4 linked regions of the Schizosaccharomyces pombe genome follow. The gene in region 2 interacts genetically with the main gene of each other region. Each region holds a gene or a part of one and is shown on either strand. Other genes may lie near its edges. The genes, in order: cph1, mms19, ccr4 and hif2.

Region 1 (7,162 bases), 3.1 Mb from region 2:
TATGGATTGTATAAAAATGACAACGGACATCACTAGTGGTATTCCACGGGAAAGCACAGTTAACCATTGTCGTGAATGTGAACGATACATGCAACCACCTAATAACTGGATGATTGCACCATTGGAATCTAGAGAATTGATGGCTATTTGCTTAAAAAAGCTTCGAGGCTTGAATCAAGTACGCCTTGTAGATGCCAATTTTATCTGGACCGAACCACATTCCCGACGAATTAAAGTCAAATTAACGGTACAGAAAGAAGCCTTTACAAACACCATCTTGCAGCAAAGTTTTCAAGTTGAATTCTATGTTAATAATACACAATGTCCTGATTGTGCTAGAACTTACACTCCACATATATGGAAAGCAGTTTGTCAGGTTCGTCAAAAAGTGTTACATAAGAGAACGTTTTTGTATTTGGAGCAGATTATTTTAAAGCATAAAGCTCACATGAACACTGTAAATATTAAAGAAACTAAAGACGGAATTGATTTTTACTTTGGCCAGAGAGCACATGCGATTAAAATGGTTGAATTTTTAAGTGCTGTTGTTCCTATTCGCTACAAGGGCAGTGAAGAGCTCATTAGCGAAGATTTTAAATCCAATACCGCAAATTATAAATTTACTTATTCAATTGAAATTGTTCCTATCTGCAAAGACGATCTTGTATGTTTACCAAAAACGGTAGCAAAAGCCCATGGGAACATTGCTCAACTTGTGGTATGTACAAAAGTCGGACCTACGATCCGCTTTCTTGATCCGCTTACTTTACAAACCTGTGATATGCTTCCCTCAATTTATTGGCGTACCCCGTTCCCTGCACTTGCAGATATTCCCGAACTTACTGAGTTCATTGTTGCCGATGTCGATTTATTAGGCCCAACAAATGGAAAGTATGCCCTCGCCGATGTGGAATTGATTAAATCATCCGATGGGTCAACGCACTTAACACGCACCCATCTTGGTGGTATTCTAAATGCGGGCAATACCGTCCTTGCGTATCATTTAGCTGTTACCAATTTTAACAATGAAGTATATGATACTCTTCGTGAAGATTCTATTCCGGAAGTTGTAATTGTTAAGAAAACTTATCCTCAAACGAAAAAGAAGAATCGGAATTGGCGTCTCAAAACTATCGGAATGCAAAAAGCCGAGGATGTCAAGAAACAAGACATTGAACGTCAAGAACGTGATTATGAGTTATTCTTGCAGAACTTGGAGGAGGATCCTGAGCTTCGCCAAGGCGTCAACTTATACAAAGCACCAGTTAAGGCTATTGCCGTTGCAGATACTGATATGGATGAGGAGGATGAGGTTGATGAAGACATTCCTCAAATAAGCGTCGATGAGTTGTTAGATGACGTTGAGGCAATGCATATTTAAAAATGCTTTAGGTTACCAAACCTTTTTTAGTTTTTATTTTGTTCTTGAACCGTTTTGGATTGGGTTATCAGATGGGATTGGTTATTCACGTACTTTAATTTTAGAAGTTTTATTTAAACAAAGCTTTCTTCCACATTTTTTTTAGAAATTAGTGATTCGTTTTAATGAGTTGAGGACAAATCGACTTTAAATGGCTTTTAAAAGTAAATAAAACTTTCGTAAGATGATATGACTTACTAAGATAACTAGATCAGTATGTGCTATGTATGAGGTGGTAAAATTATAAGTAAAGAATAGGCTTTTTTTACCATTTTTAGTCAATCTACTATATGAGGAACCCATAGAGAATTTATCTTTAAAATTTTTTAATAATATTTATGTAAATACTACAAAACTTAAATGAAAAAGAAGACTAACTTTGGAAACCAGGAGGAGGCATTACAGGGTTGCCGTTATTAATTCCTAGAGAAGTAGGAGGTTGATTCTCGGCGCTTTTTTCCTGTTCAGGGACAACCTCCTTGTCAATAACAGAACGCGCGTTGAATACAAACAACGGAGGAAGATTCTGAATCATTTCGATTTGCTTTTTATCAAATTCAGTTCCTTCCGTGCTAAAATTGATTTTACTCAACGATGAAACCAAGTCATTAATTGCTTTGTTAAGCCACTTTGTAGTGTTTTCTTCTTCCGAGGGTAATTTCGCAGCTTTCAGTTTTTGGATTTTAGGTATTGAAGTCTGGGTTGATGAGGATTTCAGTGCATCTAAAGGTTGCTGATTAACAGCGGCACGTAATCGTTCTTGTAATACGCTTGGAGATAATTTTGCCCAAGCAGCAGTTGGTGGAAGAGCAGAACTCTCTTCGTGATGAAGAATAGTTGTTGCATGTCCAGGAACGACGTTTACAGAAGCAGCAGAAGAATAAGGGGCAGGAACGCTGGTAGCAGTGTTATTAGTGGATAAGGAAGGTGTCATTGACACTTGTGGATGAACATGATCAACTGTTGTAATATGCTGATTTTGTGCAGCTGGACTACTATTAGCCTCTTCTAACGGTGTTTTCGTAACAGGAAGTAGAGGTGTTTTGAATGGAAGAGAAGGAGAAGGAGAATGAGTAGCACCATTTACCACATTAGGTTTAGTGGAAAGAGGACGGGTATGTTGAAGAGATGCCAAGTCTTCTTTAGTATAACTATCCACCTCGTCACCGGGTTCATGTAAATACATGCAAGAAGGATTGGGGCATTGCTGATTCCGTAAATAAGAAGTGCAATATTTAGTGGTACCATAAGATGCGCGAAGATGTCGCCCATCACTTACGCTGCCATCAATTGCAGCAATCGCTCGTGCAGCATCTTCTTTTCTTTGGTATGTAATATAAACTCCAACATGACCATTTGCAGAATTTGCAGCAGCCTTCTTATTTATTGCAATTTTAATAATCTTTCCGTATTGACCAAAGTATTCAGGTCCCTTCAGAACGTTGATATTCTCCTCATTTGCAACTTTGGGAGAAAGGCCGTTTACATAGGCAAGGTTCTTTTGTACAACACGAATATTTGCAAGATGCTTCCTGTTTGAAAGCTCGACTTCCTTCCTCTCTTTCTCGCGTTTCTTCCTCTCGTTTTTTCGATGTAAGTCCATCTTCCATCTAAAAACATTAGCGACATGTTTAAAAATAAAAGTGAATTTAAACAAGATTATGCTTAAACAAGAATTCTATAATCTGAATTACATACTCCTCTGCCGTGACAGGCCGCCATTGAACATTTTCTTCAGTGTACAGACGGCGACATGCAGGACAACGGCCATTTAGATCTTCTTTGATATGGTGCCAGCAAAATCTACAAACTCTGTATCCGCATTGGCATGGTTTGAAGTTTTTATCAGAGATATCAATTTCTTCCATACATAGAGGACTGTTGCAATTGTCAGTTAATTTTGATACTAATCGGCTAGTAAAACATACCAACACATGTCATCCTCATCTTCTGAAGAATATATCTCTTGCGTTTTTAACATTTTGTGTGAAATATGTCAAATCTCCGTCACAGTGCTCTCCAAATCGATACTGTTTAAGGTCGCTCGTTATACAATACAGAGGAAGTCTTCAAATATCTTAAATCAAATCTTTGATTTTAATTTAATTTAGTTAATTCCCTTAATATTCATTAGACTTCAAACAAATATTTTTTAAAGGGCAAACCGAGTTGTGGTTGGTTATAAGTTTACTTACAACTTAGTGTAAAAGAAGGAGGCAATGACTAGGTGAGAGGTTGGATTTGAACAGTATATACCACACGAAAAATAGCAATTAATAGACATGAATTAAGAAATTTGAGAAAATTCTTATTCCAAAGGTTTTTGGAATTGTGTTTGAACAACAAAAAGTACCCTTAAAAGTTTCACCGTCTATAATTTCATCTTGATAATTAATTGCAGTAAACGTTTGTAAACGAATGTATTATATATACAACTTTTTCACGTTGTGGTCAAATTCTTTAGTTATTTCATCTTCTAAGTAATTAGTGAATATATTGAATTGACGAAAAAACGATGAACAACATAATAAGAGGCATAAAGTGCTTCTCTACTTAATTTACGCTCCATGTTCCATCAAATGGATAATAGTTTTTAACAAAATGTTCAAATATTTTACATATAGAAGGGAATTTATTCTTATGATAATCATTTATACTAAATGCTCCTCTCGAAAATCAGATATCTTTAAGTAGTTTTCTAAGTCTAATTGCAACGACGTTTGGCGTTCAAAGACTTGTTGTAACTTAGCATCTTCATAACAGCGTTGCTTCACTATAATATACTTACAACCTCGACCATTGTTCTTTTTTACGATAACCATTAATTTTACCTTTAATATTCCTTAAAACATTAAGGATAGTATTGATATTTCTAAGTGCTAACCGTCGCGTATTACATGTTGCTTTGCTCATAGCATGGGAAGTATCTAATGGCATCCTCTATAAACAATTCATCTCAACCTACAGTACCTTCAATTTCTAATAATAGTCATGGCGACTCTTTCGTAAATGAAGGTCCCCCTTCTAATTTTAAAAATAATTCTTTAACATCATCAACTCACTCTTCAACTGACCATGTAAATGTCTTGCCAATTAGCCAAGACAAAGAGATGGATATAAGTTCTCCAGTGAAAAAACAAAAAGCTAGTTATTCGAATAAATCTCCAAATAAAGCACCTATTCAAAAAAGCCGGGGTAGTTCCCTAAAAAGTCATCTCGAAACCGAATCTCAACAAACTCCTGTAAAGCGACGGAGACGAAAAGCGACTATACGCAACGTCGACTATTGTAGTGCATGCGGAGGAAGAGGTCTTTTTATTTGTTGCGAGGGATGTCCTTGCAGTTTCCATCTTTCATGCTTGGAACCTCCCTTGACTCCTGAAAATATTCCAGAAGGATCTTGGTTTTGTGTGACTTGCTCAATCAAATCGCATCACCCTCCTAAGCACCCTCTTAGTATATGGTCCCAGCTTTACGATTGGATTGATTCTCAGAATCCCTCGCAGTACCGATTGCCCGACGACCTTGTGCATTATTTCCATGGAATATCTCGTGGGGATACAGGTGCTTATAAGGAAACTGAAGGAGAAATGGATACTGACGAGTTTTCTGCTTTGCCGACTGGCTCCTCTATCACTAATCTAGCTTACTGTGGTTATTGCTCTAAGCCATCAATGGGTGCTTGTTGGGTCTATGGTTGCCAGCTGTGTGACACCTTCTATCATAAAAATTGTAAAGAGCATGCTAAAAAATGCTCTCATGACTCCATTGGAAAAAAAGGTATGAGAGTACCAAAAAACGCCGTGGTGATAAGGACGCCCTTGGTGTTGGATACAACTTCTAATACTCTTAATCCTAAAGTCATGATTTCAGGATGGCAATTTCTTATGGGAGAGTTTCCAAGTGATGAACTTCTCTATTTCCCAAGATTACCCGTGAGTTGTCTCTACAAAGTTTCAGAAGACGGTCTCATCAAAGATTTTTTGTACGCGATTGGCATAGAAGCTAAAAAGTTTAATAATGAAAGGAAAAAACGAGAGTTAGAGGTTATTCCTCCAGACGTAAAAAGCGCACTACTTCCTGCGAGAACGCACCCAAACCTACCTATTGCACTACGCACTTTATTCAATAAGGCACGCACTTGAATTTTTACGATATTTTTACATTTTGTATAAAATCAGACTACGTTAATCTAATCTGTCGTGTTCAAATCGTCAGAAAAGGTTGTTTTCTGTTATTTTTTTGCTAATGTTGTATTTATAAAACCTCTTAGAACTGGCTATCTGTTGTAATTGGCTTATTTTACATTACTTTTCTCCATTAAGGCTTTTAAAAAATTTTCGTTATGCAATTAATCATTGCAAATCCTTCCTAATAGGGCAAAAGTTCTATTTTATACTAACAACTTCTCAATACTTAAATTTTATACGCGTATTGTACCGTGTGAGTATATATAAGTATATATAAGTATATATAAGTATATATGAGTAAGATGCATTTACTAGACAAAGAGGAATAAAATAAAAGAAAGTGATAAGGAAAGGTTCTATTACTAAAGTCTATTTAACAGCCATATCAATGGTTTAAAACGCTTACAGACCAAACGGTCCATAAAACTTGAACACCAAAAATATCAACAAATAAAAGATATGTTGGCATTCGTAATTACAAGTAAGCAAATACTTATTAACTAGAACCTAGTAGGTTCGTCGAACTTGCTTTCATCATCACCAACCTGACTTCTAAAGTCTTCAAAGTCGGTAGCGTTGCTTTCTCTTCGTTTGTATTGAGCAAAGACATTCCATTCTTCAAGATACGAGGAAGAGTATAAGTTCGGAAGATTAGAAAACGAAGGTAACATGGCAGAACCGGCATTCTGTATAGGAGATAGTGATCTTTGTACATTGAGGTCTCTTTTAAATTTTTGAGGTTTCTGAGGAGGAGTAAGGGTTAAGGAAAACTTTTGTAAGCTGTTCAAAGTGCCTTCAACTAAATATCCTTTTTCCTTGCAATGGAGGACAAAATGATACCATAAAGCATGTTTAGCAAGGACTTTTGGATTACCGAGAACAATTACACCATACTTTGCTCGAGTCAATGCAACGTTCAACCTTCTTGGATCGTTAACAAAACCAATACCTTGGTGTTCACTAGAACGTACACACGACAAAATAATGAAGTCCTTTTCTCTTCCTTGGAACGCATCCACCGATGCTACTTCAACAGCTTTATAAAGATCCTTCTGCATTGATCCGTTATTTTGCATGTACTGAACAATATAGGAACGCTGACCATCATATGGAGTAACAATACCAATTTGCTCAGGAAGCACGTTGCTTCTTAAAAATGTGGTAACAATTTTTTCACACGTTGAGGCTTCCGTTCTGTTTAAAAATGATGTACCGCTAGCCGACAGCTCTTCCTGACCGAAATTTGCATAAAACATTAATGGCGAATCAGGTTGTATCCATGGAAAATCAACATGTCTAGCAATACGCTCAGAAGTAGTGACACCATTTTGAAGAGTACCTTCATAAAAAGTGTTCGATGGAAATTCTGAAAGACAGGGATGCATACGATATTGCACAACTAATCTGAAAGGAGAGTTTCCTAATATAATCAGTCGCTCAAAAAGTGATTGGGAAAGGCTAGCTAATGCAACCTTTTTATTCATAACAACCGGTCCCAGTTGTTGGTGATCACCAACAAGTACTACTTGTTTGGCGCCTAAAACTAAAGGAA
Region 2 (9,493 bases):
TCCTTATCTTCATTTGCATAATAACTTACAATTAGCGAGTGAAAATTGAATAAATAAAAGCGAGGAATATGTTCATCGAGGGATATCACTATTGGAACAAACAGGTTTTGCGAAAGGAAATATCAATATTGTACTCCTCTATTTTTTTACTAAACGCCAAGTACTGCTACATTCAAACAACATTTTCCATTTCATAATCCTTTTCAACAGTCATTGCGATTGCAATTCTGATATTATTATCGAGACAAGGAAATGAGCATGATATTTTGTACCAAATTAATTTGTTATGAAACCCTTCCGCCAATTTCTATTGAGAATCCATATATATTTTTTATTTGGCTATTATTTCAAATTTATGGCTCGTTGTATTTGAAAGAGCATGATAGTATTATAAAGTACTTAGTAATCGACTGTTTTGCTTTCGTTCCAGTAGCGGAGTTCATGTTTTTGCTCTCAGGCATTTATATTAAATATTAAAACATCTTTTAGGTTACTTAATTTTAAAAAATCATCATGCCATCGTATCAACGAAACCGCATATCTGATCATCAGTAACTACAGCCTTGCTTCCTCTACCATAATTAAGCTAATAGTAAAAATGCCAAAATATAACGTTTCAGATTTCAAATCTAAATTTGATAAAGAATTAACAAACCATTTTAACAAAAATGGTTATAAGCAATCCTTTGTATTTGAAGATATTCGTTTGCTGATCGCAATAGCTTGCATTATACCCGCCGGCCTCGCATTTGGCATTGAGTATGTTTATGGTTTTGGTGTTTTAAAATCTTACTTAAAGTATCTTTTACCTTTATATTTCCTAGCTTCCTGCTTGCTCACATTTTGGTCTTCTGTAGTCAAGGGTAGTACTGTTTATGTTGCTACGAAAAAAGAAAGACACATCAAAATTTCTGCGGATACCTTTTTACCTTTGAAAAATAAGCCTCTAATCACTACTAAATTTACCGTACTCAAAAACAGAAATGCTGTTCAACTTGAATGGTCGGTTCCTGTTGCTCACATTTTTGAAGAAGATGGCCAAATATCAAGTGCAACTTTTGAGGCGGAAATTTCAAAGTACTTGTCTCAAATTGAAAACTGATTGAGCTCAATTTTTTTAATCAATTCTCAATTTGAGTTGTTGCCAAAAAGCGAAATACTCAATTACTACATTTTCGTTAGAAGGCTTCCATGCCTGCCACAACGTCCGTATCGTATTCTTATTTTTTAACATGAATTTTATTGCTACGTTTTCCATTTACCAGCGGCAATTGCCTAATCATGCTATGGATTTTTTTTTCTTGAAATCTATCCTACCATAAACCACTCTCTAACAGGAGTGAAAAAATTGGAGATTAATCGGTTCAATGTTTTCGATTCTGGGAAACTCGTCTAAAAAGAAAAGAAATACTCAAATTTACAGAATTTTTTTTACTTTAACATTCTCTTTGTCGAATCTATTTCTTGCAATATGTTACCTTTTTTTGAATGTGAGGACTGTAAGCTCAGATTCATCTGTTTCACTTTACGATAGACAGTTGTTCGATCAGTCATCTTCTGTAATTTTAAATCCTGATACTTCAGACCCAAGCATTGTGTTGTCGTCTTTAGAAACAATGCGTGATTTGGCTCATGATATAAAATTTGGTCAGGATGTACTTGAACAGCCTCTGTGCGATCAACTTTTTGTTTTGATGGATGGGAAAGACTATCCAAATACGATTCGTTCAATGTCGTCTGTTGTTTTGGCATCAGCGCTTAGCAATAATTTCATAGCTCAGAAAAAGGCTTTAGAAATGAATATTATGCCAAAAATTGTGAACACTTTACGGCAGGAAAACCACCCAGTTACATTACTGAAGAAACTTTTCCTATTAAGTAAATCTGTCCAATCTTTTCCTTTATCTGAGGCTTTCATTAGTAAAGATTTAGGATCGGCTATTCTTCTTCAGTTGTATGATTTTTGGTCGAGAAACAGCCATATTGATATTCCTTCTGCTTTTCAGGAGAAACTGCTAAGTAGGTTGTCCATCATCTTTGAAAATATTGCTCGTTCGTTGGAAAATGTCAATTTTAGCAAAGCTTCTAAAGTTATCCCAATAGAGTGGGTATTTTCGACTTGGTGTAGCATCTTTCAAAAGTACTTGATGAATAATTGGCATTTACGCTCAATTTCAACGCTCGAGGTTCTACTTAACACCGTATCAACAATTCAAAGTGTTAGTGAGAGTTGTCCCGAAGTTAACTTTTATGAATGGTTAAACGATAAAAATTTGGCGTACAAAAATAAATTAATTTATCAAGATCCAGATCTTGCTACTGAATTTAATTTAATTATAAAAGAAGCTTTATCTCTTCCTTGGCCTAAAAAATACAATATTTAACGTTTTTATTTTTCAAAAATGACTTATCAAAATCTCTCTTTATATATACCACTTATGACGAGTTCGACTTGCTTCAGTCCTTACAACCCTATATTATTCATTAGCATTTTGTAGTTAACAGTTATTCTTTTCACTAAAAATGAATGGTTCTTACCTTTTAGGATCATCCAAGCATGGTATGAGTCCACGAATTACTTTATCTCTAAATAGTTGTAAATTCGTGGTAGGAGTAAACTCTGGCAGACTTCCAAGACACTTAAGGGCTAAAAGACGAACAACAGTTGGATTATTCATATCCTTAGGGATTGCCAAAAGCGAAGGAATTAAAGTATCAAGATATTCCGTCAATAATGAAGTCAATTCTTTAACCGAAGTATGTATAACGTTCAACGTCGAAAGTTTAACACTAATATCAGACAGTGAAAGACATTGAAGTAGAAGTGGAAGGATAGATGGCATATCTGGAATTACAATTTCTTTTGGCACATTTCCTATCACATTAGAAAGAAGCATTAAATACAAAGACTTTTCTCCTCCAGTAGCAGTTGAAATGTGTTCTAAAATCTTAGGACTAACACTAGCGTAAAAACGTTGTTTGTATAACAGCTTTTCGACATATGAATTCTCCTTGGACAACGCAGGATCGTCTTTGATAATTATTGAAAGTGCCTTGACCGAAGAATCTCCGACATTTTGTAAATTCAAAGTATCCAATAATTTAAAAGCCAAAGGAATGCCCTCGCTATGCTTTCTAGAGACCAAAGCTTTGTCAACCCACGCCAGCACATCGAGTGCAGCTTCAGATTCCTTTGGAGTTCCAGTATAAACTTTATCCCACAAAGACGTGACTCCCTTCGAAGATATAAAACTTGATATATCTTCGTCTTTTTCACATTTGTTAATAAGCGAGGATATGAGACGTAAAGCGCTAATTTTAACGCCAGGACTTTCCGTAACAAAAACAACATTTATGAGTAAATTCAACAACTCAATATTCAACTTTTCGATAAAATGTAATTTTTTACTCAATCCATTAAGACCACCCTGTAATAATACCACTAAATTTAAAAATTTCTGATCACTTAAAGATGCTGCAAGCGTAAATCTTTCTGCAGCTTTTTCACAACCTTCAGTTTCAATTAAGTCGGAATTGGAATTCTCCATATATAATTTCCATAATTGACCAACAAACTTTTCTTGAAATTCAAAATGGTTTACTCTCACTATCTCATTTATTGTCTGTGATACATAAATAAGGCATCTCACATTCATTGACTCGCAATTAGCGAAACAAAGGGTAAAAAGTTGCTTCAGTAGTTCTTCAAAAAAGAATGGAATCTCTTGTTCATTTCGATCATTTCTTTCCTTAAAGGCAACGGATAAACTTTGAACAATTGATTCGACAAGATCAACACTCATTTCCTTGGATTTAAATTGATCTTTCAACATCTCAACAAGTCTGATGACAAGGGCCTTAAACAAACTCCTTTCTTCAGATATTGAGACTAGTACCGATAAATATTGCTTAAAAGTTTCTTCAGAAGATGACTTAGCAGTAACATCATCAGTTAATTTTGAAAATGCGAAAGGAAATGAAGTCAAAAGTAAAAAGTCGGGCTTTAGTAACCCTAAATCCTTCAAACATTCTGTTGCCTTTTTCTTAATAGGATCGGAAAAGTCAAATGCTATGTCATCCAAAAATTGAAGTACCATGGTTAATTCACTCTCTGTTAGGAAGTTCTTGATCGAAGCCATTAAAAAAATAACCTTTAAAGCCAACATGCGTATTTCAGTTTCATCTTTGGCTGTTCCCATCAAGGAGCCTGATACAAAACTAAGTTGCTTGTCTTTGTAAACAAGTAGCGGGTTGTCAATATCAGCCTGGTTTTTGCTTCTCCACTTTCCGTATAAAAGTACCAAACATTTATAGACGTATTCCAAAAAAACTAGCATCCCTTTTTGTTTCTCCAATGGTTCATTTACCATTGGTAGATCGAGAACACTGGGTAAAAAATTGCATGAACAATAATTGAATGTTTCCACAGAGATAGAAGCCAAGGAAGCAAATACAGCTGCACAAGATCCGCAAGATTTAACATTAACATCTTCGAGTAAACGCTGTGATAATTGGATCAAAATCATATCCACAAACTCTGTGAACGAAGATGAAAACCCTTCCTCTTTATAAAATTTACTAGCTAAAGTATTGAGTGCACCAAGCGCCAAATTTTGAAGTTCAGCATCTGTCGAATTTAGTATTTCTTGCTTAATAGATTCCCAAAAGTCTTTAGCAGACCATAAATAAGCACCCACGCGCCAAGTTTTGCAAGCTTCTATATAAATGTTTAATGCATCGATTTTTATGCGAACAGTTGAAGCCTTCAGCCTTTCAAATAAAGCAGGAAGAAGTAATTTTGAAAACGCGTCGTTAGCAACCAAGGTTTCTCTACAAAGGACGGTTAGCAATAGTTCACATGTCATGATGCCTTACCGGAGAGCTATTTTAAGATCGTCGCTAGTAATAGCCAAATTGGTGGCATCAGGCGGAGCACGGAAAGTGATCGGGAAATAACAATAAGTGATATCAAAGAATTGCTACATGTAAGTAATTTCATTAGGCGATTAACAATGAGATCCATACCTGTTCAAATCCGTCAATGGGGAATGTAGAAAGTATTTTTTTAAGCATAGAAAAGACCAGCATAAGATTACGAGGGTCTTTCTCACCAGCAAAAGTTGAACAAATTCCAGAGAAGAAAGCATCGCGAGTTTGTGAAGAGATGACTGAGAACTAAGTTAATTGATGACTCTCCAAAAAGATCCTTACAGAAAAGATAATTATCTATAATGGTTTCAAATACTTTTAAAATGTTTAAACGAGTTGCTTGAGCATATTTTGGCATGTCAGTGGAACTGAAGAGAGCCTTACAAACATCCACAATCTTTTGAGCAGGGAAGTTTTGCATGTTTAGAAGAGCTCCAATACCTAACGCATTCTCCTTCATTGTAACTTCATCATCCAAACGACTCAAGTAAAACTGAAGAAGTACAGATACATGTTTCGCAGGAAGTCTATCTTTAGGAAGCTCACCTAAAGTTTGTGACAGTAATAAAACTGCTTTTGCTCTAACAGAGATATTGTTGTCAGTTAAATACTCTCCAATTGAAGTAACCAAATCGACAATCCCCATTCTGTCAGTGACAATTTCTTCGACAATTCGATCTACAACGTCGTTTGCCTCATCCTGACTTCTATCAATAGAAAATAAATATAAAGCCACTAAATTCGAGCTCATCTTCCTCAAATTTAATATGTACTATTATGCTAACAATTTTCTATACAATAAACACTATAAGAAAAAACAGAATTTCAAAAATTGAGAAGCAGAGATTAGAAACCTTGTCCTCTTTTTCGAAGCTGACTTTCTTCTAGCTAGTAGGTAGACGGCACTCTTCCTCAGTAGATCGTTGAAACGTCTCTCAGAAAATGTGGTTAACAATGGCAAATTGCAAAATGTCATTTGCTATGTATGCTTTCTTTACCGAAGCGAAGTTAAACTAATTAAAGTATTTAGATAATCTGATAAGAATTTGTGTAAATTAAATTGCTTAAATCCATGAATTAAAGAAATTAGAAGAAAGATCGGATATTATTTTCTTTTTTTAAAAATTTGTTTCTTTTTAGCAAATCTCTACTTCAAGATTTTACAATCATACACAAAAACCTTTATTCCATCGTTATATATAGTCACTACATATTAACGATCCTTAAACCACTGCGCTATGTATTCCCTCTCTTACCAAAATTTGAACCGACAGCAAAGTAAAAAGAGGATGCAAAGTTTTAACATTTACTTGAGAAATTGATCAATAAGCATATAAGTATTTAATATAATTATCATCTTAAATTCTCTGTTAGTCCTGGTATGGAAGTTTCGGAGACAGACGAACATCTTACTCGTTTAAACCAGGCTCGAGATATTGTTAAAACTGATCAAAGCCTTTTTCCAGAAATCGTGAGAAACATTCTTTCTGTGGCAAACTATTCTGATATAAGGTATAAAAAATGGATGGCAAATTTCCTCTGGTTTGGATTTTCGAGCAAAAATGTTAAATTTGAGCAGAAATTGGATTTAGCTGTAACTTGTCTAGATACAATTGTTTCTCTGTACGCAGTAGATAATGAAGAAGTTAAAAAAGACGTTATATCTTGTTCTTGCACAATCTACCCACTAGTATTTCTGCACTGTTGTACTTCACCTAACGATTCATCTACCTGGGACACTTTAACGAAGCTAAAAAACGAAATCATTAATGACTTTGACAAAGGGAACAAGCCTCTTTTAATTTCTTGTATTAAATTTATTTCTTGTGTAATTTTAACGCAAGTGCCTGGGATTCGAGATCCCCGTCTTGTAACTAAATCGGACGTGTCTCTTTCTAAGGTTCCCACACATCATCCTTTTATCAATTCAAATATCCTCAGAATAGAAGCAAATGACTTAATTGAAAAAATATTTTCCATCCTTTTCTCGGATTCTTTGAATGTCCTTTACATTACTAGCGTTTTGAATATCTTACCGGTTTTGGTGAAGCGACGGAAGGAACTAGCACCAAAAATCATAGGAAGCTTGTTAGAATTTCATCTTCCGAATCCAAAAGATGAAATTGAGCTGTCGAACGAAAGCAAGTTAGCTATACGGTGTATTGAAAAAAATCTAAAACTTATTTTACTTCATTTAGCTAAGAGTACAGGTGCATCTTCTTCTTCCGTCGAAAAAATTCACGCTTATCTTTCCGGACAAATTTATCATACCAAAGTCGATGAAAGTTTGAAGAAACGGCAATATGAGGGAAATATTAGTGCTGCCTCTAAGCGTGTTAAGTCTTCTGCTGTACAAAGTCTTGTAGAAAGAATGCAACCCCAACTTAGCTCTCACGATGGTTTGCAAAATAATCCCTTAATCAGCATATTTGCTTCACAAACTGCTATAAATCCTCTTGCAAATTTTGATGTAACTTCAATTCCGGTTGAAGTGGCTACTGAAATTGTACTTACTTCTCTTCTTAAGATAGACAAAAACTACTTTCATCAGCAAATTAATATGTTGAGAGAGAGAGTGCGCTCTCTCTCTGAGCCTGAATCCCTTGGTCTTGATCAACAAGTTGATGAAGACGAGGACGAGGATTATGAACCGCCTGAGGTAGATGTTCAGACTATCAATGCTAGTGTAGAACGTGAAGCAGCTCGACTAGAGGGAAGTGCTCCCTCCAATGTCGTTACTGATGCGTTTGAATTACCCACTCCAGATTCGCTGTCCCCGATGGCTATTCTAGAATACTTTCACGGTGCCTTATCCAGATTATTTGATTATGCTCCTCAATTTGAAAGAAGCATAGTTTCTTCTTCTAACCTTCAAAATTTAACGTTGGAAAATGTGGATAATACGGTATGGGATAAGCGTCACTGGGCAATTCTCTTACCACGACTTTGTACGCGAGGCTTATTGAATTATCAGCCTGTAACGTCTGGTGAGGAATCTGGAGATGCTTCTTTCACTTTGTCTTCATTTGTTCGAGGGCAGCTTTTTACTTACGTTGCATCTAACTGGCGTTCCAGTACAAATTTAATATTGAACTGGTTATCCGAGGAATGGTATAATGATCGACTAATGCTTGAAAATCCGGATTGTCATGAATATGAGGATGTTAAGTGGGAAGGTCCACAATATGAAAAATGGGCCCTTAAAGTAATAGACAGCATTTTACCATACTTAGAGGCAAAAGATAAAGTTTTTATGATATTTATGTCTGAATTGCCAGAACTCACCGATGCTATAGTTGACAAAATTAAATTTGTATGTCTTGATCCCGATAAGACGAAGCTCGGTTTCATGACTTTTCAGTATTTAATAATGTTTCGACTAACCTGTACGTGAAAAATGCCTTGATATTCTTGAGACGATGTGGAAAGAGAATGTAGATGTTAAAGCTTCCGCCGCAAAGCTTTTGAATCGTTGGCGACCGTCGTTTTTGGAGTCTGTGAAATCAGAGGAAACGAAAGAGCCTTCCGCTACAGATAACACTTCCTAGAAAGCTTGTTTTTCCTGGGTCGCAGTGGGATTTCATTGGAAAGCCAAGGAGAAATAAAAGCTAAATGTTTAATGCACCATCTTTTGATAAAATAAAGTTCTGTTCATACCTAGACAGAAAAAATGTATCTGTGGCTAATCACCACTCTGTTTATTGGAGTTTTTTGGTATATATGCAAAATCTGTTCATATACTTCATTTAATCCTGCATTGGAAATGAGAGTAATCTTTCAATATTTCTTAACATACTTTACATTCATATTTATCTAGCCAGCATTTAGCCCTCTGCTATTTATGTAATGCTGTTACTTATAGCAAACGTTTATAAAAACTAAGTCTGTATAAAGCATAAATGAGCCCTTAATTTTTGGCGCACTAAAATTTAACTATTTATTATACAAATCTCAATTTTCATCGATGATAGAATGGCATATTTTATTATTAAAATAAACCATGGTCTTCTAAGAGTGGGATGTAAACTAAAGAGAAAGACTTGTTAAAAGTAAATTTTTGTGTCTATACACATAATGTAGAATAATAATCATTTGTTCCATAATTCCATAATTATACTATTTTCTTCAAATCTTGGCATTCATCTAAATGATTGATACACCCTCTTAAACCGTTTATCGAGTCCAACTGAGACTTACCGTGCAATAAATGAATGCTTTAGGACAATGAATGAAAAATAAGGATGCAACTTATCCTTTGCAATGAAGCAAGTCTAATTCATATTTATTTCTCTTTCTTTTATTTAATGTAAAAAATGGGTTTAGAGGGATCCGAAAAATTAGAACATGAAATCGAGCAAGTTCATGATAATATTGGTAAGAGAAATAAGTAAATAATAGTTCAAGCAAACGCTAATATAGCGATCCCAGAAAATAGAAAGGAAGAAGTTTCGACGCTCCAAGATATGGCAAATGATTTAGAAAAATTGACAGATCATATTGAGGCAACGTATATTGGTAGAGGAGTACCTCATGACCATGCAAAAACAGGATCTAGAAAACCGTC
Region 3 (7,800 bases), on a different chromosome or scaffold from region 2:
AAGCTTACTCCCCCCTGAATGCCTAGTTGGCTTAGTTACCTTTGGCACCATGGTAGATGTTTATGAACTTGGCTACACTGAATGTTCTAAATCTTATGTTTTCCGCGGATCTAAGGACTACACTTCCAAGCAGATTCAGGAAATGCTTGGTTTGCCCACTAGTAATGTTTCTCCAGTCGCCTTACAACAAGCTCGCTCTTTCCAAGGCTCGGCTGCTCCATCGCGCTTCCTCCTTCCCATTCAACAGTGTGAATTTCAACTTACTAACATCCTCGAACAACTACAACCTGATTCTTGGCCTGTTGCCAATGACAGACGTCCTCAACGTTGTACTGGTACCGCTTTGAACATTTCTGTAAGCATGATGGAAAGTGTTTGTCCCAACAGTGGTGGTCATATTATGCTTTTTGCTGGTGGCCCTAGCACCGTTGGTCCTGGAACTGTTGTTTCTACCGAACTTCGTGAGCCAATTCGTTCGCATCACGACATTGAACGTGACCAGGCAAAGCACGTAAAGAAGGCACTGCGCTTTTATGAAGGCCTTACCAAACGTGTCAGCGCCAATGGACATGCTGTAGACATTCTTGCCGGATGTCTGGATCAAATCGGAATTATGGAAATGAAAAGCCTGGCTTCTAGCACTGGGGGTTACCTTGTTCTATCTGATTCTTTCACTACTTCTATCTTTAAGCAAAGTTTTCAAAGAATATTTGGTCGTGATTCTTTGAATAATATGCTTCTTGGATTTAATGCAACTATGGAGGTCCTTACAACTAAGGAGTTGAAAATTTCCGGTCTTATCGGCCACGCAGTATCCCTAAACAAGAAATCACAAAATGTTGGCGATATCGAAATTGGCCTTGGTAACACTAATAGTTGGAAAATGTGTGGTATATCACCAAAGTCCACTTATGCCATTTACTTTGAAGTAGCTACTCAAAGTGCCTCTGCCCCTCAGGGGGACTCTCGAGGTTTGGTACAATATCTAACCTTGTATCAACATTCATCAAACACATTCCGACTTCGTGTAACAACAGTGGCTCGCGCTTTTGCTGATGGAGGTAGTCCATTGATCGTAAATTCATTTGATCAAGAAGCTGCTGCTGTTGCTATGGCTCGTATTGCAGCTTTCAAAGCGGAAGTCGATGATGGACCTGACGTCCTTCGATGGACCGACCGAATGCTGATCAAACTTTGTCAAAAGTTTGCTGAGTATAGAAAAGATGATCCGTCAAGTTTCCGTCTCTCTTCACAATTTACCCTTTACCCTCAATTTATGTATTACTTACGACGTAGCCCCTTTCTGCAAGTTTTTAACAATTCACCAGATGAGACTGCATTTTATCGTCACATGCTCAACCATGAAGATGTTAACAATTCTCTTATTATGATTCAACCTACCTTGCAATCATTTTCTTTCGAACACCCTGGTGGCGTTCCAGTGCTGCTGGACGCTGTATCTGTAAAACCGGATGTTATTCTCTTGCTCGATACTTTCTTCCATATTCTAATTTTCCATGGGGACACTATAGCCCAATGGAGAAATGCTGGCTATCAAAATCAGCCTGAATACCAAAACCTAAAAGAACTTTTAGAAGCTCCTAGAGTCGAAGCAGCGGAGTTGCTTATTGATCGATTCCCGATCCCTCGATTTATCGTTTGTGACCAGGGAGGCAGTCAGGCACGGTTTCTTCTTTCTCGCCTTAATCCTTCTGAAACGCACAACACTACGTCTATGTATGGTGCTCCACCTGCTCATGCTATTTTAACTGATGATGTCTCCTTACAAACCTTCATGAGTCATCTGAAAAAACTTGCCGTAGCTGTTTCATAAATGCACTTTATGAAATCTATAAACTACCAGCCCTTACTTGTAGTCATCGTTTTTAAGAAGTTTAGTCTTTTGGTGATTCTCATAAATAAAAAGCTTTTTATGTTTGATAAACTTCTTGGTCTCTCCAGCTGACTATTATAAACATTAATGAATGATTAAAATTTCAGCACTTTTGGCTTGAGTCTAGGATAGCATAGTCTTGCTTATCAATATTATTTCGTTTACTGATGTTATATTTCTCTAGTATTACGCTCGTTGTAATTTGTTGGTTTTTTAAAATAGATAAATATTTTATGAATTTTTTGTGAAGTTATGTTGAGCAAAATAAGGATATCTTCAACACAATCGATTTTTAGAGATGGTTGAATGTTGATGAAATGGCGAAGCTCATTTTTATTATGAAAATAAAAAAATCAACGTTTTAATGCAAACCATCAGTACGATGTGTGGCGGTTCACCCCTTGTTAATGCTAATTTCCAATAAAAGTAAAACGAATAACTACGTAAACAAAAACGAAACCTCAATGATTTACAATTTATCTATTCAAATTATTACGACAAGGAAAATTACACTGCTTTGATATCTATGTAAACTTAACCAAATACCTGGTACTTGCGAAATGCAGAATCATACATCAAATCCATCTACTTGCTACTAAGTATCACTCTAAAATCTACAAACACGACAAAAACTAACAATCATTTTTTATCATTGTTAAACTTTGATGAAGGTAAGGGTGTCTTCTCCTGTTTCACTTTAAACTCGGCCAGCAAGCAAATATGATCACTAGGGAAGTGTGCGTTAGGGAAACCAACAACGCCGGAAAGATAATCTTTATCCACTCCTTTCAACAAACCGGTTACCTCCAAGCTATTGCCGGTGTACCAAATGTGATCAATGGCACCCTTAAAGCCAGGTGTATAGTTAGTGAAGGAGAGAGCTTCAGATTCACCATATGCAGATTTCAAATTAAATGCATGAGAACGTCCATTAACAGTGTATTCTCCGTAATCATTATTCATAAAATCTTCATGATTTTGGCTAATGCTACCAGATGATAAAAAGTCATAAACACCACTGCCTTGGACGGAATTAAAATCTCCACAAATTAAGATGGGGATCTTTAAATACTCGGGATAGGTAGGTCTTTCATCCTTTAACTGGTCAGAAGGAATCTTGGAAGGCATATTACGGAATTTTGTTGCAACCTGTGCAATCTCATCCATGAGCATTGCAACTTGTATAACCTTGACATCCCTAAACTGAGGATCCCAATGAATATGACAATTTGCAACGATCAATCGCGATCCATTTTCCTTATTCTCAAGAAGAGTAATCACACTAATGTTATCTTTAGTCATAACACGGTTGTACATGTTAGACGTTAGTTTAATGTCTTGCCTACGAAGAGATGGTGCTTGATTATATTCTATCACCATCTTTTCGTGCATGACATATTTAGATGTTTTGAAAAATGTAGCACAACCATCGACGATGCGACGTTCAACCTCATTCATAGTTCGTACGCGACTTTTCGGGAAGTGGACACCTTTATAACCTTTCAAACTCATTTGTGGAGCAAAAAAAGTATCATAGTTCTCAACATCAACTTCTTGCAAACAAATGATATCAGCATTATAACCACCTAATTCTTGCATGATTAAATCTTTGCGATACGACCAAGAGAGTGCCCATGAAGGAGTATAGCCATACAATGTGGATGTAGCATAACGTTCACAAAGCACATTATAACTCATAATAGTAAACTTGAGATTCTTAGATGTTGTAGAGGGCTTGTTAGAATCAGCAGCCGTTAAATCTCTAACAGAGGTTGAAACATTGTCATTAACATCATCATCATCATCGGAAACAAGTTTTTCCCATCCACGCTCAGGAGGAGGAGGGCCAACAGGGCAACCATCGCGCAAAGCAGCAATTAAACCTGCAGTACCACTTTCCATGATTTGATTCTTGTAAACGTCTTGAAGAGGATTACCTTCAATACCAAGAATTTTCAATTGGAAAAGGGTACCGAGTTCGGCAGGTATTACACTAATCATATTATCAAACAATAGGACTTCTCTAAGCTCAGTAAGTAAACCAAGCTCTGGTGGAATAGTTTTAATGCTGTTTCCAGAGGCATCCAAAATAACCAAATTCTTCAGTTTGCCAATTTCAGGTGGTAATCGGGTAAGATTATTATGGTTTATGTATAATTCAGTCAAAAAAGAGAATTTAAATAAATCAGTGCTCACATTTCTCAAACCAATACCACCAAGGTCCAAACAAGTCCAATCCCGTCTCTCTTTCTTAGAGTCAGATTTCGACTTTTGGTCATCAACCGCAACAGAAGAAGTGGTTGTTTTTGACGTACTGTTTAAGGTAGTACCACTGGAAGTGTTTAATGTTGTTGAGGTCGTCAATGTTGTAGTAGTGGAGCTAGTATTGTACTTTCCCCCTAACGAGGATAAGCCAGCAGCATTAGGGCCTCCGGTAAAAGCTCCAGTCCGAGCATTGTAATTCATCGAAAACCCAGGTCCTCCACTTCGTGCTAAAGCCGCAGCATTATGAGCTCGTTGGTGTGGTGAACTGAAGGACCTGGACTGAGTTGCAAGTGCAATTTGCTGTTTCCAATGTTCAGAAATATTACTATTTTCTAAAGCTGGCGAATTCTGTACAGATAATATTGCTGCATGTTGATGGTCTGGCGTCAACAGCCCCGGGTGCGCTCCTGGATAAATTGTACCTTGCGTATACCTAGGATTAAACATAGACGGTATCTCGCAAAATATCAAAGTCGAGATGAATTCTAATTTACAACATTCACTATATATACAATAAAAGTGAGGTTGTTGGTGAACGGCAAGAGTCGAACCCCGTGATAGCTTATAGGTGGGATACGAAAGCTCACCACCAAGATTTGAGACGAAAACTCAGTGTCCTGTTAATCGTTTTTTAGGTATATAATTGCATATGAATGCTTTCAATTAATTCATATTATTAATTTTTTTTCTAAATAATATAATTTAGGGTCCAAACATGAAATTATTTTAGCTTATGTTTAGCGCTGTTATGGTCTATGTAAATATTGGAGCTACTGAAAAATTTAATATATAATGTATCATCAGAAGTCCTTTATGAAGTTTATAATATTAAAAGCTTTTCCGGAACATCAAATATGAATTATTCAGCCTAATTTCGATTCCGATACATGGATGTCTCAAAGTTGTTAAAAGGCAGTTAGTTGTTGACTCATTATCGTAAAGTAAGATAATGTTTAATATTTAAATTAAATTTTTTATAATCTTTTTTTATATAATGCCAAATTTCTTAAAGTATGGACGGGAAGAAACATATTGAAGATCAAAAAAGGTTTATTTATCTAACTAACGCTTATTGCTAAGCAAAGGTTACGACGCGTAAAGGAGACATTAAATATAGGGGTTTGCTTCGTATAAAGAGCTACCATTTGATCCGGACTGTTTGAGAAGGTTAGTAAATATATCGATTCCATTACATTTTCTCATACCTTGTAGACCAATTGACTTCATTAAATGTGGATGTTTTAGCAGAGAAAGGTGTAACAACACTTCCCGTTAGAGAAGAAGAAACAGGATTGTTGTAATTAGTTTTGAAAACGTCCCAAGCTCTCACAGTACAATCTGACCCTCCGCTAACGAGGACCGTGGATTCGCGAGAAAATGACAAAGAGTATATGTTGCCTCTGTGACCTCGCATTGTCTTTATACGCCTTCCTGTTCCTATGTCCCAAAGGTGAATTAGACCTTCACTGTCTTTAATCAAATTAGTAAAATCATTAGTAATAACAAATGTATAACATACCAGCACTTGCCATAGTATGACCATCTGGGGCAATCGCAACAGCAGTTACCGGTTGGGTATGTCCATTAAAAACACGAACAGAATGTCCTCTATGTACATCCCAAAGCCTGCATGTTTTATCGCTTGATCCAGTTAGCACATAAGCGGAGTTTGGATGAAAGGTAACGCACTAAATACAAGTCAGTCATAAGGAAACACATTTCTTAAAAAAGATAATAATCATACGTCTACATCACTTAAATGCCCAGCAAAAACTCTAAGTGGGTATATATGATCACAGCTCCAAAGTTGTGCAGTCTGGTCATGAGAAGCAGTAGCGAAGTAATGACCAAACGGACCAAAGGCAACATCCCAAACCGGGCCAGTATGTCCCTTGTAAGCTACCAAAGCAGTTTTTGTGTCAACAGACCACAGCCGGGCGCTAGCATCTTCGGAACAAGATAGTAAATATTTATTATCGGGAGAAAATGTGGTGCCGTAAACAGGACCAGAATGACTCAGTAAACGTACTGAGCCATCTGAATCCTCTACAGAAGTTGACTTAGGTAATGATTTTTTGTCAGCCTTTATTGACCATAGCCGTATATAACTTTCTTGAAAACCACAGGCGATCATTGTGGAGTCAGGAGAAAATTCAGCACAGTTCATGTTGTTATTGGTGTGATGGAATGTGTACATACAAACACTAGGAAGGGAGGCTCTAGGTCCAAGATGTAATCTTTTACTCCAATCTTTCACAGCCTCAACTTCTGAAAGAATATCAACACCTTTATGAGGAGGAAGAGGGATATAATCTCTAGACGGAGCATCTTCAGCATTAGGTTCATGCAGCTTTCTAAATTCTTTTAATAGTTTTGGAGATTGGTTATTTGGATCGTTTTGGTGCATCATATCCTCTTCTTCTAAGTCCATCTCTACAATTTTTTCCATTTCTTTGTCCATTGGCATTTGTTGCAGCTTTACAGGTTGAAGTTGAGCATCTCCTCGTTCAAAGGATTGGCCGGTAATACCTTCTTGTTCATTGATAACTTTAGCATTTTCCAAGACGGTGGGACGTCCGGGAACGATATGGATATCTATATGCTGATTGATTAATTTAATGATAATTGACCCACCGTTTGAAACGTTTTCAAATAAGAAATGAAGCAATAAATCAAATGTTATCCTAGAAAAATGGAGTTGATATTTATTTTGCCGGTATTGTTGAGCAGTGCGGTCTTCTGCGACATGGCTTGGAAGACTCAGCGATTTTAAGTTTTTTACATCAAAGTCATGAAGATCAGTATGATCGTCTTTGAAGAGTTCGTAAAATTGCTTTGCTATAGCACGTTAGTAAAATTATCATTTATCCTTATAAAGAATTAAATATGGGTGGTCAAGTGGAATGAGTTTCAGAAATAAAGACAAGTTGTAAACTCAATAGATAAAGAAACTAATAAGTATTTAGAATAGTTCAAATACCCCTCTTGTTCGTAGATCATCGAAACAAACATGTAACAAATTCGTAACCTCCTCCAATATGACCAACTTACCAGCTTCATAATGATCTTGAGACAAGAGATTAAGATATGAGTGAACAAATATAGGAAATAATATCCTGTGAAGTTCAGCTTTGTACAATTCTAACGAACTATCCACCCAGTCTCGTAAGATCGTATACGTGTGTGTGTATGCATCTGGAGTTTCCTCAATGCTTTTTAACTTCTCCTCTACTGACACGCCAGAACCCGATGCTTCCAAACGAAGCATCGCCTCGGTCCTTGAGTATCCCTTCTTCGCAAGGTAATCCAGAACAATTCTGTTCAGATCCTGCGGTTGCGGCCCATTAGTGGCAGACATGGTTAAATTCTCCAATACTCTAGCTTGAAGAAATTAATTAGAATCCAAATATAAATCTACAAATGACCGTGATTCATATAATTACCTGCGCAGAGCTCAAAGCAACTTGCTAGGAAGTAGCATATGTCGAGTTCGTGTCTATTAACATACCATTGTGTACCACGCTAAATTGGGAATTTGCAGGATTTATGAATAACTGAAATTTGGAAAGGTTCCACAGTGTCTGTGAGCGTTTTGATGTCGAAATCCTATCTAAATTACTATTTCTTTTGTCCTACTCAAA
Region 4 (7,976 bases), on a different chromosome or scaffold from region 2:
TGTCTCCGAATACTTTCATTTGCTGAAAGAAGCATACTGGGATGCACCTTTGTCCTTGGTTGAAGCAGTCCTTCAAAACCGCACCGACCTGGAAAAATCAATAATAAAGAAGATGATTGATATTGTACGCCATGAAAATGATTCACTCCAAATAGACACTTCGCAACAACCGACAGTATTTTCCCAAGTCACGTCTCTTTCTGGAAGTTCAATTTTATGAGATCCAAAGTAGTCGTTGCTGAATTTTAATGATCTACGTACGGTTTATCTTTACCTATAGTAATGTTCCTTTTGATTTATGTTAGACGAAGCCACTAATTTGCGTTCACGCTATCTATTATACCTGTTACTAACTTTCAAGATGGCAATCGAAAGCGTCGCTATAATTAAGGTATTTGTGATAAATAGATATTGGACCTTGACAATTTCGCGGTCCATATTGTTTCCTGTTCATATTATGTTTTGACAAATATTAGCTACCAGTTTAGTAACTTCAAATAAAAATTCGTATATGATTATATATATGTATATATTTGACTATAGATGATGACCCAACGAACCTACTGTAATAAATGGATATATACAAGATCAACTAGGTTCAATTACAGAGAATCATGTAAAAAATCACAACAACAAATAATCTCCTTCTTTTGTTTACCGATAAGTAAATCTTTATCATCAAAACTCCACCGTAAGAAATTAACTTGCTCCTCTGGAAGTACATTAGTAACAGCAATTAACTCTGAGTTATCGGAACCCAGTTCCTTAAATAGTTTGGCTGTTTTGCATGACCATATACATACTCCCCCAGAAGTATCACCAGTAGCAAGATAGCGACCGTTATGACTGAAGCTCAAAGCACTAACAGGAGCTGTATGCCTCATGAATACAGCAAGTTGCTGAAGGGAAATAGCATTATACATAGAAACGATACTGTTTGAAGCAACCGCTAGAATTGGTGTCCCTTCCCGCAAATTCCAGTCAATACAATTAACCGGTGAGCTAAAAGAAAAAACATGTAAACATTCAAAAGCACCAGCATCACCTCTAGACCAAAGCTATACAAAACGTTAGAAAACAGTAATTATTAGAATGACAAAAGAAATTTACCTTAACAGTGGTATCACTAGAAGCAGTTAATAGAAGAGAGATACGTAGATTGTATCGTAAAGCAACAATAGAATTATCATGCGCATGAGAAACTGTAGAAACCGGAGCTTTGCCATCGACCTTGTATACTCGCAAGGAGCCTTCCACATCCGAAGTTACAAATTCATCAAAGCTAATCCATTCAATGTCTAAAACGGAAGATGCAAGTGTGTCAATTGAATATTGTGTTTGCTTCAGTTGATCAAAGAGTGTAATAGTTCCATCCGCCGAACCAGCAGCTAGATATGTATCAGTACCGCTCCATTTCAAAGATAAAACAGGGCCTTTGTTGTTATGAAAGCTAAGGATTTGAGAACCATGACTATCGTAAATTTCAATCACACCGCTGAAGAATGCGTAGGCTAAAAAAGAACCAGAATTCTAAAAGTTAGTATTTCAAAAAAAAATTTGAACCTTACATTCCAAGCAACGCCAGTGATATCTTGGTTATCGAAAGAAGATTGCAGACAATAATCTGTTTTTGCCTTGAAATCATTTTGCTCTTCACAAATGCTAACTGAAGCCAGAGTAGCGTTTGTCATACCAATAGAAAATTCGTAAACATGGTAATTTTCTTGTAATAGTGGACGCCAATCTGCACAGGTAACGGGGTGTTTGGTAGGAATTACTTTGAAAAAATCCGACTTTATGTCTTCGCCGCCAGTAAAAGTAACCTGTTTTATTTCTGTTATTTCCGTGACAGGTGAACTGTTGTACACGGCTATAGGTCGAGCCGGATCCTTCTCTACGTTTGATTCATCGGCCATAGTAATGTCAATATCCCTTTTCTCAATTTTATCCTTAAATGGCATGACCGGAGATGAAGGCGACCCAGACCCCTTATCTTGTAAAATTTTAAGTTGGTGATCATTAGAATTATTGTGTTCGCAAAACCCATTGGTAGAGTCAGCTTTCGTCAGTGTCGTTTCGCATATATGAGGTACGGTGAGATAGAAAGGGAGTTTACAAGGATTTTCATTTACAAGACTTTCTCCATCTATAGATGTTTTGCTAGCTTCTTCGTTTGAGGAGTGATTATCAACGTAGTGCTTTTCGAGCTCCACGTACTGTAAACCCTTCTGCAGAATTTCGACTAAAGCGCCAACCTGGCAAGTACTTCCCCATTGTTTGTCTAAATTTTGGATGCCTGTTTCCCTTTCAAATGCAAATTTAGTATGCGAATAACCTACAACAAAAAACACGATAATGTTAACGAAACCGAAAAAAAGGAGAGATGAAGCGACTATGATTCACAAAAACCAACTATTTAACATACCGCATTCTTTCAAATATCTCCAGATTATATAATTAACTTGATTCGTATCCATTTCCTCCACAATTTCTAAATCTATAATGGTTCAAGCTACCCACGTAAATTAAAGTCAAATCTTAAGGTCTGTCAACGAGTTTCACTTAAAACCTCAACAGTCTTCTATTTTCTTTCTTTTCCTGTCAATACGGATTTAACTTGAAGGATTGTCGACGAATTCCCATTGAGACGGTTTTTAGTAGTTGTGGAAGTATTAGTTACCGAAATTTAACTAGATACGTGCGATGGCTGAAACTGTGGATTAAATCTTCCTGCTCTATTATTTGCACGTAGGTTACTATTTAAACAGCGCTTGATCAAAATAAAAATAATCGAGTGCCCACTTTTTGTATCCGAGGAATTTCAGTAAAGTTTTCCCTCTTTGAAGTCGGTCTCTTAACAACTTAAAACGGCAATGCTAATAGTTCTCTTCGACTTTTAATTTCAATCAAAATTCACTTTTAGAAGTTTGTGTTAAGGAGTTGGCAGCCAGATTGTATTTTCTGACTTTCATGAATTCGTATGCTATTTCTGTACTCAACATTCCATACAAGAGTGGTAGGAGCCTTATTTGGTTTTTTTATTTCTAAAATATACTGCTATTTTATTTGAATAATTTGAACATTCAGGGTCCGCTTATCATGCTAAGGAAATGTGATTTTCTATTACAAATGTTTCAAGGTCAAGCGAATGCTTCTTTCTGATATAAGACCGCTCTAAACAATGCATTCACTATATTCTAAGAAAGGAAAAGATGATTTGAATTATGACTAATAATTTAAGACATTATTCGATTAAGAGAATCAACACTTTGTTTTAACCCAGCAGAGCGATATGCAGCAATTTCTCATCAGGGTTTCCCTCAAAAAACTGCCAAATATAATAAAAATTAATTTCTCCCTTTACTATTTACTCTAACTTTGAATGCGTTTATCTCCTCAACCGAACCGATCATAGTTACTTGATAAACCAGGTTGTGCTCAAACAAATATATCAGCGAGTTTAAACTTCTTTTCTATCTTCTATTAGAATCGGCAAGCTACAAAGTTATGTAATTTTCTGGATGTTTATAATCTGGTCGAGCCATGACCTACCTATCATCTTACCCGCTACCGAATGTCCCTGTAAATGAGATTATTGAGAAGGCATTAAAAAACCAGGTGCAGTGTCTTATCTCAACTTCTCATTTTCTAATTTACTAACTGTATTAATCCATATAGGCAATTTCTTATTATGCTTATATTCCAGTGAAGCGATCTTTGGCCAATTCAGTTTTCGTAAGAGTTTCTATTTTTTAGATGCAAACAGCTAGAAATTTTATTTCGGATTGCACCATTTACTTAGAGGTATCCTGGTATTGTTTACTTTGAGACCAAAATTGTTGACGTCGATGATTTTTACGGTAACGAGAACTTTACTATTTTTTTTTACCTAAAATTTATCAATGAATCATTTCTCCAAGTTTTCGGTTACGAAAAGGCTTCTTATCCTAGAGGTATTGTTTTCTGCAATATCATTTGGAATCAGCATCTACATCAAAGTGTTTGGTAGGAGTTCTATTGTAACTTTCTTTCTTTTATGTTTTCATTTGGTTCCAAATGCTTTGTTCTTGTTTCCATGGACAATAATTACCACAAGTTTTGTTGATGCTAATGTTTTTACGCTACTTTCAAGTATTCTCATTCTCTCGGTGTATGGCGTTGAAATTGAACGTTCATGGGGTCATAAGGAGTACTTGCTTTTCTGTCAGTTTTTAACAGTGATTCCAAACATTGCTGTCTTGATACCTTGCTTTATTGCATACAAAATTACAGATTCACATTACTTGTTGGTCGCAATTATCCAAAGTACGACCGCAATTCAAGCAGGGATCTTAACTGCTTGGTACCAATTGTATTCGTGTAAAAAGGAAGAATCTTCAAACAAATTTCTCTGTCCATTGTCAAAATACCTTATTTATTTGTTCCTTTCAATTCACTTATTTTATGTTTTTCAAAGTTTTCCATGGACTTATTTCTGCTTAGCTGTCTCAGGCACTTGCATCTCTGAGCTATATGTGTTGTTTGTTCATCCTGTGGTTCAAGAACTTTTCCATTTAGAAAGTCATACTCAGCTTCCTATATGAACTTTCCGTTTTAATCAAAATCAATACTTTTTTACGCATTGCTATTGTTTTGACTAGCTATCTAAGACCCGTGTATTGCTTTGCTTTTATAATTATTGACTGCATGCGCAAATGAATTTAAAATCAGTTTGCTTATGATTTTGCGTCTATTTATTAAATAATATTGAAGGCTTTTATTAAAAATAAAAAACTAAGTCTTTTTTGGCAGTTACTACTGTTAAATAACAATCACGACCGTTTACGAGTAATACTACAATTCTTGACAATTCCGCAAGGCACAAAATCCTTTACGGCATCTTTTAATGATTAAATAAAGCAAAAGAAATTACTTTCAAAATCGATACTATAATGCTACTATAATTTTATGCTTACCCTACCCTAAACTCTAGCAAAAAGTCCTTTAATTGAATTAAGTCCGTAGCTGCTGGAATCTACCAAGCACTCCATTAAGTTGGCTTGTCGTCACACTATTTGTGAGAATTCAATGAAGACGGGACAATTAGTCTGAGTGCTTATATTAAAGGACGATTTAATCCAGTTTTTGGGTTGGTCATGGTTCGGGGCCAGGGACTATATGTTAACATGTAGAAGTCATCAAGTCTTAAGCTCTAGCTTTTCTATGTCTAGATATTCTTTATCTTAAGTTTGGATGACTTATTTAGGCCTATATTTTTTGTATTGTTTAGTCGTTGTAAAAGAAGAGTAGCTTTTTGTATAGTTTGACTTAATTGAACAGTTTTATTTGCATGGATTTGCATAGTTTTCGTAAATGGCTTTAATTTTTCTTTATACATATCCAATGTAGAGGTTTTAGAAGTATTAGAATCTTCTGTATTCAGTTTCTTTTGGAACGAGAAATCGTTGGAGTCTGAAAAATTATCATGGGATATCTTTAAGCCTTTCTTCAAATAAGGGTGAAGCTAAGAAAATATTAGTGATTGCTTGATTATTTACATAACTGAAACAATGGAAAACTCATTTTGTGTCATATGTTAAGATGAAGTCTTGAATAAAACATTCGCCTGTTCGTGTTTTAAACTTACTTTAGATTTTAAATCGGCAAGCCGTGAATTATTTATGGCCATGTTTTGTTTCATTTCTTCGTAAGATTTCTGTTCATTCTCCAAACGAGCAGTTTCAACCTTCAATTCCTGTTGAAGTACGTTAATATGGTCCAAATCACTGTATAATTGCTGTTCCAATTGCATCTAAAAATGTTAGTCATATCTCTTTCGTATGTATGCGTATCAAGACTTAATAACTTACATTCGAAGAAAGTAATTGAGAGAACAGTATTGACTCTTTTCTTTTCCTTGGTACAGGCAAATTTCTCAGAGGAGCTTCGATTTTTAAAAGTATATTCATGAACCATTCCTCGGCCAAAGATTTTCTTGTTTCTGATTTTATTGTATTCAAAACCAATCTGTTACGATAGCACAGTTAGCATACGTACACATAATGACTAAAAAAATTTGGAAAAGTACTTAAAAGACTTTTCCAGGTAAACATCAACAGCAAACTTTGATTTCCCTTTCAGTACACAAGTAAGCGCTAAAAAGCACAAGCACTTTTAGCAATAACATGATTCTCAATTACTTACCTTGAACACGTCCTAAAAATAATTATTATTTCTTGGCGCTGCTTATCCTCTAATGGACGCCATCTTTTTTGAATTTGGTCTCGACGCACCGCGCGAACGCGCCTTTTCATTTCCATTGCATATATTTATAAAAATGGTGCTACCACTTCAATTTTCTTTTAAGCAATCTGGAACTTAAATAGCAAAATATGTACGTATGGTTTTATATGAAAAATTTCTCTATAACAAGAATTCGCCGTTTCAACGTTTGCATGCTGTTGTAGCGCTTCGGACGAAGTTGTTTTACATATATACAGTCAACCAAGCCAATTCTCAATTACTTATTTTATTTCAATAATAAGTTGATAAAAGATTTTAAAAATCATAGTTATAATGTTTTCACAGCTATCCCAGAAATTACTTTAAGTAGTCTGTTTTTAATTAATACTACAATTACAATAAACAGAGCTTTTTAAATCATATACTATTGCTACCATTGAATTAAAAGAGAAAATAAATAAAACGTACCGACAATCGTAAATATGGCATGTGTTGCAAAGCAGTTCAAATGAAGTGCAGTATGTTTTAGAATATAAATCGTTTAGATGTTGAAAAGATAATATAAAATTGAATTCCTAAGGGTTTGAAAAGTCTTTCTCGCTTAATCAGTTAGTTTATTTCATCTAAACAAAAATTGAATGCTAATTAATCGATCACCAATTTGCGAAGCAAAACCAAGATTCATAAATAGTAAATGCTGAAAATTAACAACTATTAATACACCAACGACGGATAAAAATAGCAACATAAACCTAACGCAAATATTGTCATACACGCATCTGTAATCAATTGTGTGAAATACGGAACATAACTTGTTGTATGACGGATCATTGCTCCATAGGGAGGGGGAAGCTGAGAGGCCAGAGATGCTAGAAGAGAATAAGAAGGTCCATTATTACGGTCCAAAACAAATTGAATAGAGAACAAGCAAGCTTCGACAGTAAATGTCCACGGAAGTAATGGCTGAAATAAATATATTAGTATGCAAAAAAACAATTTCAAAAAAGGAAGATGAGGACTTACCAAATGTTTAAAATAACAAACAATCACTACTATAGAAATTGCCAAAAGATGAGCATATTTCTCAACTAAGTTTTTTAAAGGAGCTGTAGCTTGAGGAATTTGTTCGTTTTCACCTTGAAAATTTGTATCAGATCCCTCCTTTGCGGATTGTAACATAGCTTGAAAAAAATTTGCAAAATCAGGGTTTTGATTAAACATGTTTTCAGGTGGTACATTATATGGAGAATCACACTGAAGTTTAAAAGGCGAACTTTCCAAATTATGGTAATCTTGGGAAGGAAGATATTCCACTTGATCAGCATTGAAGGTATCATCTCTCTTTTCCATGAATCCTGAAGACATTGGCGTTACTGGTGTTGCAGTTTCAGAATGTACAGCTTCCTCGGAAGCTGTAGCTCGAACATCGGATTGACTGTCATCTGAATTCTGTCCCAAAATTTGATTGATTCTAGATGCACCTCCTTGTTTGATTTTATTCAGTCGACGTTCACGTCTAAGTCGAGCTTGTTCACTGGCAGTCGACATGTTCGAAGTCTTTGAATCAGCAGAAAACAGAATAAAATAAATAATTAACACCAAACTTTTTTACAGATATATATTTTTATCAATATTATATTGGGAAAAAATCAATAATGCTCACTTGAACAACTTTCCAATATACGAGGGGTTTGGGGTGAGAGAAAATAGTGATGCATAAGTGTTAGAAGAATACTGAATTCCTACAGCTGTTA

What was found.
Region 1: mutations in mms19 (region 2) and cph1 together harm fitness more than expected from each alone (negative genetic interaction), as found in Schizosaccharomyces pombe (2 studies listed by BioGRID).
Region 3: mutations in mms19 (region 2) and ccr4 together harm fitness more than expected from each alone (negative genetic interaction), as found in Schizosaccharomyces pombe (2 studies listed by BioGRID).
Region 4: mutations in mms19 (region 2) and hif2 together harm fitness more than expected from each alone (negative genetic interaction), as found in Schizosaccharomyces pombe (2 studies listed by BioGRID).

The regions. Positions count from the first base shown.
Region 1 is NC_003424.3:795,200-802,361, forward strand, and holds cph1 (Clr6 histone deacetylase-associated PHD protein-1 Cph1), read left to right. Parts: upstream 1-4,167; 5' UTR 4,168-4,350; coding exon 4,351-5,565; 3' UTR 5,566-5,782; downstream 5,783-7,162. Other genes in the region: export adaptor Nmd3, read left to right, coding at 1-1,381; CCR4-Not complex subunit Mot2, read right to left, coding at 1,794-3,030, 3,119-3,298, 3,349-3,401; ATP-dependent RNA helicase Upf1, read right to left, coding at 6,111-7,162.
Region 2 is NC_003424.3:3,854,610-3,864,102, reverse strand, and holds mms19 (TFIIH regulator Mms19 ), read right to left. Parts: upstream 5,886-9,493; 5' UTR 5,681-5,885; coding exon 5,212-5,680; exon of another isoform or gene 5,169-5,211; coding exon 5,026-5,168; exon of another isoform or gene 4,980-5,025; coding exon 4,876-4,979; exon of another isoform or gene 4,831-4,875; coding exon 2,539-4,830; exon of another isoform or gene 2,473-2,538; coding exon 2,424-2,472; 3' UTR 2,385-2,423; downstream 1-2,384. Other genes in the region: signal peptidase subunit Spc2, read left to right, coding at 599-1,102; protein Sil1, read left to right, coding at 1,368-2,384; protein Rng8, read left to right, coding at 9,243-9,303, 9,358-9,493. UniProt on the Schizosaccharomyces pombe protein: Key component of the cytosolic iron-sulfur protein assembly (CIA) machinery that mediates the incorporation of iron-sulfur cluster into apoproteins specifically involved in DNA metabolism and genomic integrity.
Region 3 is NC_003421.2:634,928-642,727, forward strand, and holds ccr4 (CCR4-Not complex subunit Ccr4), read right to left. Parts: upstream 4,697-7,800; 5' UTR 4,607-4,696; coding exon 2,534-4,606; 3' UTR 2,508-2,533; downstream 1-2,507. Other genes in the region: sec231 (COPII cargo receptor subunit Sec23a), read left to right, coding at 1-1,834; taf5 (transcription initiation factor TFIID subunit 5), read right to left, coding at 5,218-5,314, 5,365-5,629, 5,679-5,847, 5,904-6,997, 7,211-7,517. UniProt on the Schizosaccharomyces pombe protein: Acts as a catalytic component of the CCR4-NOT core complex, which in the nucleus seems to be a general transcription factor, and in the cytoplasm the major mRNA deadenylase involved in mRNA turnover.
Region 4 is NC_003421.2:189,053-197,028, reverse strand, and holds hif2 (Set3 complex subunit Hif2), read right to left. Parts: upstream 2,666-7,976; 5' UTR 2,478-2,665; coding exon 2,426-2,477; intron 2,336-2,425; coding exon 1,569-2,335; intron 1,531-1,568; coding exon 1,111-1,530; intron 1,059-1,110; coding exon 603-1,058; 3' UTR 501-602; downstream 1-500. Other genes in the region: sec6 (exocyst complex subunit Exo3), read left to right, coding at 1-220; protein pdh1, read left to right, coding at 3,903-4,583; kinetochore protein fta7, read right to left, coding at 5,207-5,503, 5,627-5,791, 5,850-6,006, 6,184-6,299; GET complex subunit Get2, read right to left, coding at 6,937-7,185, 7,246-7,770.